Linked DNA regions of Anolis sagrei. The protein of the gene in region 1 interacts with the protein of each later gene in a pairwise test. Links are inferred from orthologs where the notes say so. Each region holds a gene or a part of one and is shown on either strand. Other genes may lie near its edges. The genes, in order: CEBPE and CEBPG.

Region 1 (9,437 bases):
CAGCAGTAGCCACTCTGGCTACTGGTGAGGTAGGATGGAAATAAAAACAGCCAAAAACATTTCAAGTGCAGCTAGTCTTCAGACTGCTAGATACAGTACAGCCATTATGGCACAGGTTGTCTTATTTTCAGTTTTTTTCTGATCATAGAGTACACGGAATTTATCTTTTTCACTTGCAGATTAAATATAAATAATGCACCACATGGTTCCAAAGCTTTGGGGGCAGAATTCAAAAACACTTCAGAGTAAAAAGCACAGCAGAAGTGAAGGAGGAAGGTTTGTCAGACTGGTTCTGCAGGCAGAAGCCACTCCCATCAGGATAAGCTATAGTACCACAAAGTGCACACACCTCAAAATGCACACCACATGGCAACTGCGAGAAAAGAAATGAAATGAGAGTCATATAAGTTTCTGAGGTTCAGCAATCCATATCCACTAACCATATTCAAACATTACACACAATTTTTTTCTCATTATGGATTCTGGGTTAATGTAAAATGAAAATAATAAAAAGTGTGGCCATGCAGGGAGCCTTGCGCTCGACCCTTGCCCCTTCCAAGCTCGGCGGGGGTGAGGGTCGAGCACAAGGCTCCACGCATGGCCAGGCCATCCAGGGAACCTTTGCAGCTTAACCATTGCCCCTGCTGAGCTCAGAAGGGGCTGGGCCGATCGGTAGGCTTCCTGCATGTCCTGGCTCTCACTGTGCAAGTTTGATCCAGGTCCATCATTGGTTGAGGTTGGTTTCACGGTGTTCTCTGGATGTAGGTGAATTACATCTCCCATAAATCACTGTCAATTCTTCCCAATCCCCTCCAGTATTTTCTATTAGTCACTGGAGTTCTGTGTGCCAAGTTGGTCCAGGTCTGTAATTCGTAGGGATCTCAGTGGTCTGTGGAATCCTTTATTTGTACCCCACTAGCATCTCCCGAAGGATTCGATGCGGCTTACAGCAGGCCGAAGCCTAAAACAATACAGCAATACAATACATAGCAAATAAAACAGTCAAGCAAAAACAATGACAATAGCAACACGACAAGACATTATTAAAAACTGAGTTGGCCGAAGTAGGGTACAGGGTTAAAAGTGCTGATGTGTCGGAGGGGTGTGGGATTATAACATGTTATTTTCAAACTAGTTAGTTCCATCAGTAGATTTTTTTTGGCTTGAGCTCACTTTACACTCAATCGCATTTACCTTTGAGTTCCTTTTTCATTTAGTTTGAAATTCTCCCATATTTGAGATTTCACTATTCAGAATAACCAGATATCTTCCTGAGGTGACAACTATAACGAAACCATTATATAATTAAAATTACAGTTTTACCAAAGACCACTCCAAAACTTTCAGATTCTCACAAAAGTATTAGAAGGGGCAGAAGATGGAGCAAATGTCCGATGTTGTTTTTAATAGCCACCACAAAACTAAGAACCACAAATGGTACATTAGGAAATCATTGTGGGAGGACTTCAAACATTGTGCTGGCTGGTTTGTAAGGGTTCTTGGCCCTCAAAGGAAGAATTTAGACCTCCAAGATCCATATCTATACCTACAAGATTGTAAGCCCTAAAAATAGAGAGACCAGTCTTTGTGAAACTGGGTAGTGCAAGTGTAGGAAACCTCAAAGCCTGGGGTTGAGAGTGACCCTCAGTGGTTCCCCAGTGGCCACATTCCTTTCATGGGATATCAACGTTTGGTCGATTCCCAGCATCTATTCGGGCTTCTTTCTCAGCTGAAAATTCTTTGCTGGAAAATCATTAATCTAAAATATGCTTCTCTCCTTTTGCTTGACCCGCCACTGGAATTGTGGAGATCTGAAATAGAATCGGGCCTTCAGCTGAAAAGAGGGGTTAGATTGTGTGCTGAGTCGAAAAGAACCAGGTTCAAATCCCATCTTAATCCTATGCCCTCTTGGGCCAGTGTCCACTGATCACCCTAAACTTAACCTGCCAGGCTTTTTGTGAGACTGAGGGGAGAAGTACCATCTTTGAGATTTCTGGAAAAAGGTGCAGACATGACTTAGTTACTTACTTAGGCGATCCCTCGTTGTCTGAGTAGGATTGTCTTCCAAGATCAGTGTACTGGCGGTGGGTCCGTAGGTGACTTTGGAGCCTTATTCTTGATCTGCATCTTCTCCCGCAGTGAGGGCATTGGTTTCCAGGTGGAAGGCGGTTCCGGTCGGGGTTGCCTTGATGTGCTTTCCTCTTGGCATGTTTCTCTCTTTCGCCCTCCATTCATGCCTCTTCAAATTCTGCAGCACTGCTGGTCACAGCTGACCTCCAGCTGGAGCACTCAATGGCCAGGTCTTCCCAGTTCTCAGTGGCAGACATGAATGTAATAGGTAAAGATAAAGGTTTTCCCCTGTCATGAAGTCCAGTCGTGTCCGACTCTGGGGTGTGGTGCTCATCTCCATTCCTAAGCCGAAGAGCCAGCGTTGCCCGTAGATTTATTTATTATGATTTATTTATTTTTTAATTGCTTTGTATTGTACCTGTTATTGCTTGTATTGCTTGTATTGTTTGTATTGCAGGCTCGGCCTCATGTAAGCCGCACCAAGTCCCTTGGGGAGATGGTAGCGGGGTATAAATAAAGATTATTATTATTATTATTATTATTATTATTATTATTGACACCTCCATGGTCATATGGCCAGCATGACTGCATGGAGCGCTGTTACCTTCCCACTAGAGCGGTACCTATTGATCTACTCACATTTGCGTGTTTTCGAACTGCTAGGTTGGCAGAAGCTGGGGCTGACAACGGAAGCTTACCCCGCTTCCCCGGATTCAAACCTGCGACTTTCGGTCAACAAGCTCAGCAGCTCAGTGCTTTAATCCACTGCGCCACTGGGGGCTCCATTAATGTAATAAACACAGTTAAAAATCAGAATGGCAGATCCTCCTGACACAGGCTGTCTATTGGCCTTCAGTCTGCATTTTAGTAAAATGACAAGATCTGAGTGGATATGCATATTGATGATGGCTGACCTACCCAAGGTGCTGAGCCCTATGGTCCAACTAGGTTCAGCACTCTGGATAGCTCCTTTAAAGTCCAGACTCAAAATCAAAGTGGATTAACCACTCACTGAGCTGGAAAGCACTACTGAGTCTATGTCTCAATTCATAAATCAAGAGTAAGGAGACACTCATTATCCTTTACTGAGAGAAGAAGCCTTTCCTCTATCAGATCAGAAAGAACACACCAAACAGTGCTCTTCTTTTCTCTTCCCCAAATATCACTGATTCTTGCTTGCTTATAATCTATGCAGCAGTAACATGTTTGGCTTCAGAGCATCCTCTGCTGGTGCCCAAAGACAATGCAATCACTTGGTGCATTTTTTAATTCCATCAGCCTCACTCTGGTTCCTATTTGGCCCAAAGATTAAGGAAGCAAAGCTGGAACGGCACAGCTCTGAAAAATTACTGTTCTAGGCTAAAATTTCCTAAATATCCAAGGGATTCTGGAAGGTACAATTTCAAAAAACCTTTACCTTCAGGTAACACCCTTTCAAGGCACCAACACTTATTGTAATGTTTATCGTCAGGGAGAAGAAGGAAAAAAGATCCCTTCAGAAAATGCCCTTCCAAGGCATCAAAGTTTATTGTAATGTTTACCATCAGAGAGAAGGAGAAATATTTGTAGGGTATATTTGTTTTTGTTCTTGAGAGCAAAATAACTAGACTTGAGCTAGATACACCAGTGTGGGTAGGGATAGTTGTCTGATCTTCCGCAGGCAAAATATTTTAGAGCCAGCTCTTGAGAAAAAGACATTTCATAGGTGCTTTTTAGCATCCTCTCTAACAATTGCAGGAAATAGGATCTAGAGGAGGGTGAGCAATATGATCAAAGATGTGGAAGCCAAGCTTTCTGAGGAACAACTTTGGGAGCTGGGCACTTTTAGGTTGAAGAACAGGAAGGGATACAATAGGCATCTTTATAGGATGGTATGCAGAAGACGGAGAAAGTTTATTCCTGCTCTTCAAGAGACCAGAACACAAACCAATGGTTTCCAATTACAATAAAAGAAATTTCACCCAAACCTTTTCTATAAAAGCTGCTTGTGCTGGAGAGTGGTGGGATCTCCATCTTTGGAGATCTTTAAACAGAGGTTGGATGTGTGACGAAATGAAAATCATGTGTAGTTTGTGTTTGATCAGCACATACATCACCTTGTTAGAGAAAGAAAATATGCTACACAGATGAACAATAAAGAACAAGTAGTTTACTCTTCGTAGTTCAGAACAACATATGTACAATCATGTGGTCAGTTACATCAACTCACATAATGTCCTTTTATGAGAGATTTAAAATGGTATTTCTTTGTCCATGTGGATGATGTCCTTCAGCAGCACATGAAGCAAGAGCACACTCCAAACTCTCTCTCTGCTTTTTTCTGCTTCTCTGCAAGCACCTGTATAACTCAAGTCTGAAAAATGTAACAGTATCCAAAAGTCCCAGGCTCAGCCATCTCTCCGGACGTAGCCCGACCAATCATCTTATTTTACAGTCAACACACACACTCACTGATTCCTTTCATGCTACAACAGGATGGGCATCTTTCAGGAACACTTGATATATTCCTGCATGGCAGAGGTCTGAACTAGTTGATCCTTGTAGTCATCTAGTGACCGTATCTCTCTTCACGTACCAACCCGGGCCCTTCGTTCCTCGGAAGAGGTCCTCCTTTCACCTCTACCAATCTCACAAGCTCATCTTGTGGGCACAAGGGAGAGAGCTTTCTCTTCTGTGGCCCCCGACTTTGGAACTCCTTACCTGGGGAGATCAGGAAAGCCCCTTCACTAGAAATGTTTAAAAAGAACCTCAAAACCTGTTTTTTCCGCTGCACCTTTGGTGAGTAGGTGCACAGCATGATATTTTGCACCCCTCAACGTTTTCTGCCAATGGAGTTCGTGCCCTCCAAATAGAATGTTCAGCCTCATAACCCTGTGTGTTTTATGAGTTCCATATAAACGTCCTGCTCCTATTTTATCTCATTAAACTGGTTTTTTTTATCCTGAATATATGGCCCGCCCATTGTCATCATTACCGTGATTGTGTTTATTCAAATGTTTATTTTATGATTTTTCTCCTTTTTAATGTTACTTTGATGATGTTGTTGTTGTTTGTTGTATATGTTTTGATTTTATTGCTGTATTATGTTGTCCGGGCTTGGCCCCATGTAAGCCGCTCCAAGTCCCCATCGGGGAGATGGTGGCGGGGTAGAAATAAAATTTATTATTACTACTACTACTACTACTACTACTACTATTATTTATGATTTTTAATGCCCATAATTTCTCAACTTTGACTATGGCGGCTTGGAGCTGTAGGCCAACAAGATCTTGAGAGCTGCATGTTCTCACGCTTGGTTTAGGCATGTTGAATTACGGTTGAACAGAAGGTATGGTTTATGCCGAGCGATATGTTTGTCACAAGGGCACATACTGGGGTTCTGCGTGGAAATAGGAATGAAGACATTTCCTGGGTGAACCAGGCGAAATTGCCAAAAGCAGGAGCCAAGATGCACCTCAGAAAGAGGAAGGAAGGGGGAGGGAGGGAGGTAAAAGGAGGGAAGGAAGAAGATGAGGAGAAAGAGGGAACAAGGCTCAGACAGAGACAGAGGAGAAAGCAGGAAAGGTAGAAAGTGAGCAGAAAAGGGCGGAAAGGGACAGAAAATTTTAACAAGAAAAGACGAGTGAAATCCTTCATCTGGGAGAACAAACAACCAAGAACAACAAAGGAGAACAAATCAGAATCAAAACCAAGTCGAAGAACAGAATTAGGCAAACTTGAAGTGCTCCAAAAGAAGAAACAGAGGACTCAAAACAGAACCTGGGAGAGGAGAGTTAAAATATACACCGGCACTAAAGAAGTACGCTGGTGCCAGTGGTTGTCCAAGGAGAGAAGGAAAACACCAGGGAACTGGGAATTGCAGCTCAGGGCCATGTCCCAAGGAGGATATTTTGAGAGCGAGCGGCACTACCAAGCCCTGGAAGTACCTCCTGCAAGGCCTGCTGGCACCGACCTGGGCCCAATCTGTGAGTCTGAGTTGGCGTCATACATCGGAGATGAACAGCTGCTCTCAGAATTGCTCCAAGGGGCTCAGCACAGAGGCCCCAAAGGCACCCCATTTCCCAACTACTTCCCCATGGAGCCGTACCCCTTCCTCTCTTATGGAGGGGAGCGCAAGGGCCTGGGACCCTTGGACCCACGTTCCGTCGCTGTCAAGGAGGAGCCGCGAGGAAGCGAAGCTGGACGGGTGGGCGGACGCCACCCATACAATGCCATGCACTTCCCAGGTGCCCACTGCGCCCAAGTGGCCCTTGGACAGCCAGGCGGGCGTGCCGGACAAGCTCTGAGAGTGCTCAAGGTAAGGAGATCAAATGGTCTTCAGCCACCATTTACCCTAGGAGGCTCTGCTAGTCTAGAACACATCACAGACCATGAAGTCCTGATCCATATTTATGGTTGGGTCTGCACTGTCCTTCCTGCTTGATGTTCCTTAGGCATTGTTTGCTCTTCTTTATACACGCAGGTCCCAAGTTACGAGCAAGATAGGTTCTGTAAGTTTATTCTTAAGTTGAATTTGTATGGAAGTCGGAATAGGTACATTTTAAAAGTGTAACTCCAGATAGATAGATAGATAGATAGATTGCAATATTCCTGCTTCTTGGAAGGGGGTTGGACTGGATGGCCCATGAGGTCTCTTCTAACTCTATGATTCTATGATTATATATATATATATATCTCAAAGGTAAAGGTTTTCCCTGACATTACGTCTAGTCGTGTCCAACTCTGGGTAGTGCTCTTCTCCATTTCTAAGTCGAAGAGCCGGCATTGTCCGTAGACATCTTCAAGATCATTTGGCCACCATGACTGCATGGAGTGCCGTTACCTTCCCGCCGAAGTGGTACCTATTAACCTACTCACCTTTGCATGTTTTTGAACTGCTAGGTTGGCAGAAGCTGGGGCTAACAGCAGGAGCTCACCCCACTCCCCGGATTTTAACTGCTGACCTTTTGGTCAGCAAGTTAAGCAGCTCAGTGGTTTAACCCACTGGGCCACTGGGGGGGCTCCATACACACAAACACATACACACACACAATAATAATAATAATAATAATAATAATAATAATGATAATAACAGCGCTCCATGCAGTCATGCCGGCCACATGACCTTGGAGCTGTCTATGGACAACACCGGCTCTTCGGCTTAGAAATGGAGATGAGCACCACACCTCAGAGTCAGACATGACTGGACTTAATATCAGGGAACAACCTTTACCTTTTAATAATAATAATAATAATAATAATAATAATAATAATAGGAGCTGACATGTTATGAGGATTTAAAGATCCAACTGCAAAGACTTTGGCACAAGCCAGTAAAGGTAGTCCCAGTCGTGATCAGCACACTGGGTGCAGTGCCTAAAGACCTTGGCCTGCACTTAAACACAATCGGCGCTGACAAAATTACCATTTGTCAGCTGCAAAAGGCCACCCTACTGGGATCTGCACACATTATTTGCCGATACATCACATAGTCCTAGACACTTGAGTAGTGTCTGACGGGTGATCCAATACAACAACCAGCATACTGATCTTGCTTGCCGAGTACTAATCTTATTGTGTTTATAATAATAACAACAACAACAACAACCATCTGCCAGCTGCAAAAGTCCACCTCACTGGGATCTGCACGTATTATTCGCCGATACATCACACAGTCCTAGACACTTGGGAAATGTCCGACGTATGATCCAATTCCACAGCCAGCAGAGTGTCTGCTATGGACTCATCTTGTTGTGTTTCTAATAATAGTAATAATAATAATAATAATAATAATAACAACTTCATTTATAACCCACCCTCTCTCTCTGAAGGGACTCAGGGCGGGACTCACGTATGCTTTGGATTGCATAGAGAAGAGTTAACACCTCTCTAGTGTTTGTTTGGCTGTCTGTGCCCCTGTTCAGAAGATTTCTCTTCACTTTCTATCCCTGTAATAATTTTGAAAAAAATTGCCTTATTGTGGAGACAAGAATTTCCGAGAAAGCTTCAGTGAAGGCACCTTTTCCTCATGATAACTCTTTTAGGAGTGGATTTCCCTCGGGAACTGTTTATACACACAACATTCCCCAGGGTATAAAAAAAACCCTTCCCCAAGGGACTTGTCTCCTATAATCTAAGACAGGAGAAAGGGAAGGAAACGGAGTCTGGAGCAGATGGGAAAAATATGTGGTTATTCCGTTGCAAGGGCTCCATCTTAGGCCCCTTCCACCCAGATGAATAAAATCCCACATTATCTGCTTTGAACTGGAATATATGGCAGCGTGGACCCAGTTGTAGGGATAAAGCAGAAATAACCCAGTTCAAAGCAGATATTGTGGGATTTTTTTGCATTGATATTCTGGGTTATATGGCTGTGAAGGAGGGCCCTTAGTTACAGTTCACCAAAATATGGCTCCAGGAGTTGACTAAATGGCCTTTAGAGATCCCTTTCAACTCTACTATTGTTGTTGTTGTTGTTGTTGTTGTTGTTGTTGTTGTTAATATTATGGTTGGATGACCATCTGCCAGGAGTGCTTTGACTGTGCTTTCCCTGTATGAAGTAAGAATGAAGAGGGTTGGACTAGATGGTCTTTAGAGCTCCCTTCCAATTCTATTATTATTATTATTATTATTATTATTATCATTATCATTATTATTCATATTAATATTAAGGCTGGATGGCCATCTGTCAGGGATGTTTTGACTGTGCTTTCCCTGCATGAAGGCAGAATGAAGAGGGTTGGACTAGATGGCCTTTAAAGCTCCCTTCCAACTTATTATTATTAATAATAATATTAAGGCTGAATGGCCATCTGTCAAGGGTGTTTTGACTGTGCTTTCCCTGCATGAAGGCAGAATAAAGAGGGTTGGACTAGATGGGCTTTAGAGTTCCCTTCCAACTCATTATTATTATTATTAAGGCTGAATGGCCATCTGTCAGGGGTGTTTTGACTGTGCTTTCCCTACATGAGGGCAGAATGAAGAGGGTTGGACTAAATGGTCTTTAGAGCTCCCTTCCAACTCATTATTATTATTATTATTATTATTAACATTAATATTAAGGCTGGATGGCCATCTGTCAGGGGTGTTTTGATTGTGCTTTCCCTGCATGAAGGCAGAATAAAGAGGGTTGGACTAAATGGGCTTTAGAGCTCCCTTCCAACTCGTTATTATTATTATTATTATGACCAAATGGCCATCTGTTGATGATGCTTTGATTGTGCTTTCCCTGCATGAAAGCAGAATGAAAAGGTTTGAACTAGATGGCCTTTAGAGGCCCCTTCCAACTTTGAAATATGATAAATATTCAAAAACATTTAACCTACTGATGCCTCAATTAATGTAATTTTAATAATAAATTAATAATAATAATGCATCTATTTTTATTT
Region 2 (8,970 bases), on another chromosome or scaffold:
GCACCTTAAATTGGGCTCGGAAAATAAACGGCAGCCAATGGAGCTCCTTAAACAGGAGGGTTGACCTCTCTCTGTAAGGAGCACCAGTTAACATCCTGGCCACCACTTGTTGGACAAGTTGAAATTTCCGAGCCGTTTTCAAGGGCAGCCCCACGTAGAGCGCATTACAGTAATCAAACCTAGAGGTGACCAAGGCATGGACCACCCCGGCCAGATCAGCCTTTGCGAGGTACGGTCGTAGTTGGCGCATGAGTCTCAATTGTGCAAAAGCCCTCCCGGACACCGCCGACGCCTGAGCCTCAAGCGTAAGTGATGAATCCAAGAGGACTCCCAAACTGCGGACCTGTGACTTCAGGGGGAGTGTAACCCCTTCCAACACAGGTTGCCACCCTATACCCCGATCCAGTTTACAATTGACCAGGAGGACCTCTGTCTTGTCGGGATTGATCTTCAGCTTGTTCGTCCTCATCTAGATAGACACAGCGGCCAGGCACTCGTCCAGCACCCGAGGGGCCTCCTTGGAATTAGGTGGAAATGAGTAATAGAGTTGTGTGTCATCTGCATAGAGGTGGCACCTAACTCCAAAACTCCAGATGACCTCTCCCAGCGGTGTCATGTAGATGTTAAAAAGCATGGGAGACAAGATAGAGCCTTGCGGGACCCCACAGGTCAATGGCCAGGGGTCCGAGCAGGCATCTCACAGCTTCACCATCTGGGATCAACTCTCCAGGAAGGGTCGATTTATAGGTGAACTATAAATCCGAGCAACTCCCAAATGTCAAGGTTTATTTTCCCCAAACTCCACCAGTGTTCCGTCTTCCAGGAGCATAGTTTGCATTACCTTTTAGTTGCACGGGATAGTGTTCTTTTGCATTTCCCCAGGGTTGCTGCAGACCCAGCAGCTCCCTGGAAGTTAAACAGTATAAGAGTCTGCAAAGCCAGCCTGCAGGCCCTCTGCAGTTATTGGTTTAGAAAGTATCTCTTTGGGTGTAGAGACCGCCCTTTTTCCAGGGGATGAGATCTCCATTTTGGAATCTCCCCTGCCTCCTTCAGTGTAGAGAAAGAAAGCTTCAGATGTGCTGTTGGTCAGGCAGGGAGCTCTGAAAAAATCATTGTAAGTACGATTGAGTTATATTGATAAAGAAGCTAATTGAGATAGAAAGAATAGCAAATGAGATATGACTGAGTAATATTGGGTCTAATTCAGATAGATCAGTGTTTCTCAACCTGGGGGTCAGGACCCCTGGGGGGGGGGTTGCGAGGGGTTGCCAGAGGGGTCACCAAAGACCATTAGAAAACACAGTATTTTCTGCTGGTCATGGGGATTCTGTGTGGGAAGTTTGGCCCAATTCTTTCATTGGTGGGGTTCAGAAGGCTATTTGATTGTAGGGGAACTATAAATCCCAGCAACTACAACTCCCAAATGTCAAGGTCTATTTCCCCTAAATGCCACCAGTGTTCACATTTGGGCATATTGAGTATCCATGCCAGGTTTGATCCAGATCCATCATTGTTTGGGTCCACAATGCCCTCTGGATGTAGGTGAACTACAACTCCAAAACTCAAGGTCAATGCCCACCAAACCCTTCCAGTATTTTCCACTGGTCATGGGAGTTCTGTGCGCCAAGTTTGGTCCAATTCCATCATTGGTGGAGCTCAGAATGCTCTTTGAATGCAGGTGAACTACAAATCCCATCAACTGCAACTCCCAACCCCACCAGTATTCAAATTTGGGCATATTGGGTATTTGTGCCAAATGTAGTGCAGTGAATGAAAATACATCCTGCATAACATATAAATTTACATTACGATTCAGAACAGGAGAAAAATTACAATTATGAAGAAGCAACGAAAAGAATGTTATGGTTGGGGGTCTCCGCAACATGAGGAACTGTATTAAGGGGTCACGGCATTAGGAAGGTTGAGAACCACTGCACTCTATCTATCTATCATCTATCTATCTATCATCTCTCTCTCTCTCTCTCTCTCTATCTAATCCAGAGAGTGGGGTGAGCTCCCAATATCTATCTATCTATCTATCTATCTATCTATCTATCTATCTATCTATCTATCATCTATCTATCATCTATCTACCTACCTACCTACCTTCTTCTTCTTCTTCTTATTATTATTATTATCATCTTCATTAATGTGCAAGTACAACTTCTTGTTGTTCATTCGTTCAGTTGTTTCCAACTCTTCGTGACCTCATGGACCAGCCCATGCCAGAGCTCCTTGTCGGCTGTCACCACCCCCTTCTCCTTCAAGGTCAATCCAGTCCCTTCAAGGATGCCATCAATCCACCTTGCTCTTGGTTGGCCCCTCTTCCTTTTTCCTTCAATTTTCCCCAGAATCATTGTCTTCTCTAGGTGACCTCATGGACCAGCCCACTACACAGCTCCCTGTCGGCTATCACCACCCCCAGCTCCTTCAAAGTCAATTCCGTCACTTCAAGGATCCCATCCATACATCTTGCCTTTGGTCGGCCCCTCTTCCTTTTTCCTTTCATTTCCCCCAGCATCATTGTCTTCTCTAGGTGACCTCAAGGACTCTGGTTGCTTCTGGTTGCTTCTGGGTTTTGTTGAGTTCCAGGGCCAGAGAAGCAGATGGCGGAAACAGAAGAACGGCCTGCCTCAGGGGAGCGTGCTTGCTCCATCCATGTTCAACATCTACACAAATGACCAGCCACTGCCAGAAGGGACAGAGAGTTTCATCTACGCTGACGATCGTGCCATTACTGCTCAAGCAGGGAGCTTTGAGATGGTAGAACAGAAGCTCTCCAAAGCTCTAGGTGCTCTTACTGCCTATTACAGGGAAAACCATCTGATCCCTAATCCATCTAAAACACAGACATGTGCCTTTCATCTCAAGAACAGACAAGCATCCCGAGCTCTGAGGATTACCTGGGAAGGAATCCCACTGGAGCATTGCAGCGCACCCAAATACCTGGGAGTCACTTTGGACCGTGCTCTGACCCACAAGAAGCACTGCCTGAACATCAAACAAAAAGTGGGCGCTAGAAACAACATCATACGAAAGCTGACTGGCACAACCTGGGGATCACAACCAGACACAGTGAAGACATCTGCCCTTGCGCTATGCTACTCTGCTGCTGAGTATGCATGCCCAGTGTGGAACACATCTCATCACACTAAAACAGTGGATGTGGCTCTTAATGAGACATGCCGCATTATCACGGGGTGTCTGCGCCCCACACCACTGGAGAAATTACACTGCTTAGCCGGTATTGCACCACCTGACATCCGCCGGGAAGTAGCAGCCAATAGTGAAAGGACCAAGGCAGAGACATCTCCAGCTCATCCCCTGTTTGGGTATCAGCCAGCACGTCAACGACTTAAATCAAGACATAGTTTTCTTAGATCTACAGAGACACCCCAGCAAGCGAGAGTCCAAAAGTGGCAGGCCCAAACCCAGCACCTCAATTCATGGGTGATACCAGATGAGAGACTCCCCCCTGGGCACTCAGAAGACTGGGCGACTTGGAAGGCGCTGAACAGATTGCGCTCTGGCACCACGAGATGCAGAGCCAACCTTCAGAAATGGGGCTACAGGGTGGAATCCTCGGCATGCGAGTGCGGAGAAGAACAAACCACTGACCACCTGCTGCAATGCACCCTGAGCCCTGCCACATGCACGATGGAGGACCTTCTTGCGGCAACCCCAGAGGCACTCCAAGTGGCCAGATACTGGTCAAAGGACATTTAACCAAATACCAAATTTACAAAATCTGTGTGGTTTTTTTTTCTTTTTTTTCTTTCTCTTTTTAATCTCTGTGTTTGTTTTGCTCTGTTAGAATTGTAAAATAATGGTTGCTAATGACACAATGACACGACCTCAAGGACCAGCCCACGCCAGAGCTCCCTGTCAGCCGTCGCCACCCCTAGCTCCTTCAAGGTCAATCCAGTCCCTTCAAGGATGCCATCCATCCACCTTGCTCTTGGATGGCCCCTCTTCCTTTTTCCTTCCATTTTCCCCAGCATCATTGTCTTCTCTAACCTTTCCTGTCTTTTCATGACGTGGCCAAAGGACTTCATCTTGGTCTCTCATCTCCTTTCGTTTCGAGGCCACTCTCAGAAATTTCCTCTAGCACCACAGATCAAAAGCATCTCTCTTCCTTTGCTCAGTCTTCCTTCTGGGCCAGCTCTCACATCCGTAGGTGACTATGGGGAATACCATGGCTTGGACTAGGCAATGGATCTTTGTGGCCAGTCTGATGTCTCTGCTCTTTACTATTGTATCGAGACTGGACATTGCTCTCCTCCCAAGAAGGAAGCGTCTTCTGATTTCCTGGCCACAGTCTGCATCTGCACTCATCTTTGCGCCTAGAAATACAAACCCTGTCACGGCCTCCACGTTTTCTCCCTCTATTTCCCAGTTGTCAATCACTCTTGTTGCCATAATTTTGGTTCTTTTGATGTTTAGCTGCAACCCGGCTTTTGCGCTTTCTTCTTTCACCTTGATTAGAAGGCTCCTCAGCTCTTCCTCGCTTTCGGCCATCAGAGTGGTGTCATCTGCATATCTGAGGTTGTTAATGTTTCTTCCAGCCATTTTCATAATAAAGTGTTTTAAAAATAATTAAAATTATATAAATTAATGTGTAGGTGCAACTATGCAAGCATGAGTATTGAGTTATTAAATGTAATAATAATAATAATAATAATAAAGTGTCTAAAAATAATTATAATTTTAATAATGAATGTGTAGGTGCAATTATGCAAGCATGAGTATTGTGCTATTAATATTATTAATAATAATAATAATAGATGGGAAAGGCAGAGACAAAATGCAAGGAACTCAGCCGACTAAGTAAACAAAACAACTCTGGGCCCGCCCCCTCAATTCGCTCGCTTATTGGGTACAATATAGCGAAGCGACGAGATTCATTGGGTGTCGCGAGCTGTCAATCTCCCAGTCCGAATCCTCGGATTGGACCCGGCGCCAGGAGCCCTGGCTCCTCATTGGTGGAGGCAGCTGTCAATCGCGTCCCCCGTGAGGTAATTCGAAGCCCGATTGGCTGGAGCCCGGTTTCGCAACCGCGCAGGCGAAAGAGCGAGGAAAAGCAGGGAGGAAGCGGCGGCGGCAGTTCCTACGGAGGGAAAGGTAAGGAAGGGGCGAAGGAGGCCGCCGAGGGGTGGAGTGGCCCGTCCTGGTGGGGGAACCGTCTCCGGAAGTCCCGGGGAAAGCGGGATGACTGCTCGTTCTCCTGAAAGGCAGAAAGAGAGAGAGAAAACAACAAAAACCCTTCTGCGCATGCGCACACCCGTTTCGAGGCCAGCGAGAGAAGGGAGTCCTCACGCTGCGCACGCGCAAAGGGGGAGGGAGGGGGAGTTGGGTCGCCTTTGCGCGTGCGCATAGGCGACCCAACTCCCCCTCCCTCCCCCTTTGCGCGTGCGCACTGGAGGGAAGCTGCTTTCTCGCGTCACCTTCGGGTCTGCGCCTGCGCAGAAGGGAAGATGATGCAATCTTGGAGACACTTTCAGAGGTAATGCGGGTGACGTCATGGTAATGGCGCTGAAGGAAACAGCAGGCTGGGCAAGGAAGGAAGGAAGGAAGGAGAAGGGCCAAAACAAGAGGAGGAAAGACAGCCTGAGGGTGCTTTAGAATGGGGGATCTGGAATGTCACTTAAATGGTATTCCTTCTTTGGTTTTGCTCCATCATATAAGCAAGATTTTATATATTAATATATTACAATAATATATAATACTATAATATATAATAATAATATAATTATAATAATATATAATTTTAATAATATATAATACTATATAATATTGTATTCCTATATTATACTATATTATATTCCTATATTTTTAATTATACGACTCTGGCCCTGTTTACCTCTCCGAACGTATTCTCCCCTATGAACCATCAAGATTACTAAGATCGTCTGGAGAGGCCCTGCTCTCGGTCCCACCGGCCTCACAAGCGCGTCTGGTGGGGACGAGGGACAGGGCCTTCTTGGTGGTGGCCCCTCGACTCTGGAACTCTCTCCCACTGGAGATCAGAACCGCCCCTTCTATCCTGACATTTAGGAAACAGGTGAAGACTTGGCTATGGAGACAGGCATTCGACGAGTGAGCCAACACCCTGAGATATGGATGGAGGACGATGAACAACGATTTTAGTGTGACGACTGGCCATTATAGTTATTGATTGTAATTTCTGTTTTAATGTTTTATTGTAATATGAATTATGTTTTATTGATTGTATGTGATATTATGGTTGGAAACTGGTCTGAGTACCTCAAGAGAGGTGAGAAGGCCGGTATATAAAACTTTTAAATAAATAAAGAAATAAATATGATATATTAATTATATTATATTATTAATTATATATATTAATTATTATATTATTTTATTACATTAACTTATTGTATCAATATATTATAATATAATATATTAATACAATGATATAATAATAATAATCTATATAAATAAAAATGTAACGTTCGTTTGTGGGACTAACATAACTCAAAAACCACTGAACGAATTGACACGAAGTTTGGACACAATACTCCTATATTATACTAATACATTATATTAATTGTTATATTAATTTATTACATTAACTTATTGTATCAATATATTATATTAATATAATATATTAATACAGTGATATACTAATAATAAGCTATATAAATAAAAATGTAATGTTCGTTTGTGGGATTAACATAACTCAGAAACCACGAAATTTGGACACAATACTCCTATATTATACTAATACATTATGTTAATTATTATATTAATTTATTACATTAACTTATTGTATCAATATTAATATATATATTAATATATATTAATACAATGAATATTAGTATAATATACCAATACAATGATATACTAATAATAATCTGTATAAATAAAAATGTAATGTTCATTTGTGGGATTAACATAACTCAAAAACTACTGGACGAATTGACACGAAATTTGGACACAATACACCTAACAGTCCATCCCCCCTAAACACACACACTCACACACAAAGCCCCAGTGGAACAGACTTAAAAACCAAAAAAATGCACCATATATACATACACTCATATACATATACACATGCACGCATTGTACACACATATGCACAAACACACAAATATACACACACATATATATACATATACACATGTGCACATATATACATATACACATGCATACATACATATATACGTATACACATACACATGTACACAAATATACATACATGCATACACACATACACACAAATATGCTTATAGACAAGCATACACATAGACACAATATGCATGTACACATATAAAACACAAATACACAAATATATATACACGCATAAACACATATATACACACACATAAACACATATATACACACACAAACACATATATACACACACATAAACACATATATACACACACATAAACACATATACACACACACAGAACACATATACACAGACATTTTGGATGCCACTGTGTTTCCAACAACAACAATAATAATAATAATAATAATAATAATTTGGGCTTCATACCAAATTACAATTCCCAGCATTCCATAGCATTAGGCCATGGAAGCTAAAATGATGTCAAACTGCACTCATTCTACAGTGCAGATGCACTTTTATACCTATACATAGTTTGCCCCAAATCTCCCCTTTAGTTTCAGGTTTATTCTCATTCCAAACAAGCTTGTGCTTCTATTTCCTTTTTGACAGGGAGTTGGCAAGCAGTATTAACTGGAATACCTTGGGGTATAGAAATTAAAATTGGCACAATAACAACTATTATACATACATACGTGTGTGTGTGTGTGTATATATATAGGGGGATTCGTGGATCTTGCCAGAGCTTTTGAAAGTTCTTTCTCTCAACCCCGTTAAATACTGATTTCTGCAAATGTTTTTGATAACTGTGAAAGGCTGTAATGATGTGTATTACAGGTTTGTGCTATCAAGCATCAAACATCAGCAACACTATATGGAAATAGATACAGTTGAAAATAAGTGCAGAGCAATGTTTAAGTGTAAATAAATGTTTAGATTTTTAAAACAGTGCAAGTTCATGGTCCCTCAGACACCCTCAGGTGGTTCTTGTTGTGTGCTTTCGAGTCATTTCAGACACAGGGCAACCTTAAGACAACCCTCTCACAGAGTGTTCTTGGCAAGTTTGATTCTTCTTCTGAGGCTGAGAGAGTGGAACTTACCTAAAGTCACCCAGAGGGTACAGAGCCACAGTCACAGGTTCAAACCACTACACCACATTTTCTCGTTTTACTACCTCCTCTTCTTTTTCCCTTTTTATTTTTACGACCCCATTCCTTTATGAGTTTCTCCTTCACAAACAATCTGCTCCATCTATGTCTCACCCTGATTTTAGTATTTTCAGTATTTTAGTTTTTAATCTTACACATGCGGCCCGTTCATTGTTATTTTATTGTGTATGATTTTGTTTTATCATCTTTTGTACTTATATGTTGTATGTATTTTACTGTGTTGTTATTGTGTTTTGGTGTTATTTTATTGTAATATGCTGTTGGGCTTGCCTCATGTAAGCCGCCCCGAGTCCCCATTGGGGAGATGGTGGCGGGGTATTAAATAAAGATTATTATTATTATTATTATTATTATTATTATTATTGAGTGAGACATACTTTATCTCATCCCTAATTGAAGATTTACCTCATTGTTTATCCCAACTGAGTCTTCCACTAGACCAGTGGTTCTCAACCTGGGGTCCCCAGATGTTTTTGGACTTCCCCCGAACATGGAGGTAGCTTGAGTTCCCAGCAGTGGCCTCATCTGGCTGCACCCTATGTACCATTTAAATGACCTCCAAAGTCTGGGCTTTATTGTGGGAAATTTTCTTGACTTCTTCAGCTGCTACTGCCAAATAAATGTGGCTGCGATGTCCCAAACAGTTGCTTATGAGGCTGCCACTTAAGTCAGTGGTTCTCAACCTGTGGGTCCCCAGATATTTTGTCC

The links.
Region 2: the proteins of CEBPE (region 1) and CEBPG interact in a two-hybrid assay, tested with the Homo sapiens proteins (2 studies listed by BioGRID and IntAct, with this or other methods). The link is inferred for Anolis sagrei from reciprocal best matches to the Homo sapiens genes CEBPE and CEBPG.

The regions. Positions count from the first base shown.
Region 1 is NC_090026.1:9,167,058-9,176,494, forward strand, and holds the start of CEBPE (CCAAT/enhancer-binding protein epsilon), read left to right. Parts: upstream 1-5,588; 5' UTR 5,589-5,941; coding exon 5,942-6,367; intron 6,368-9,437. UniProt on the Homo sapiens protein: Transcriptional activator. C/EBP are DNA-binding proteins that recognize two different motifs: the CCAAT homology common to many promoters and the enhanced core homology common to many enhancers.
Region 2 is NC_090028.1:3,816,376-3,825,345, reverse strand, and holds the start of CEBPG (CCAAT/enhancer-binding protein gamma), read left to right. Parts: upstream 1-5,020; 5' UTR 5,021-5,121; intron 5,122-5,441; exon of another isoform or gene 5,442-5,503; intron 5,504-5,511; exon of another isoform or gene 5,512-5,651; intron 5,652-8,970. UniProt on the Homo sapiens protein: Transcription factor that binds to the promoter and the enhancer regions of target genes. Binds to the enhancer element PRE-I (positive regulatory element-I) of the IL-4 gene. Binds to the promoter and the enhancer of the immunoglobulin heavy chain.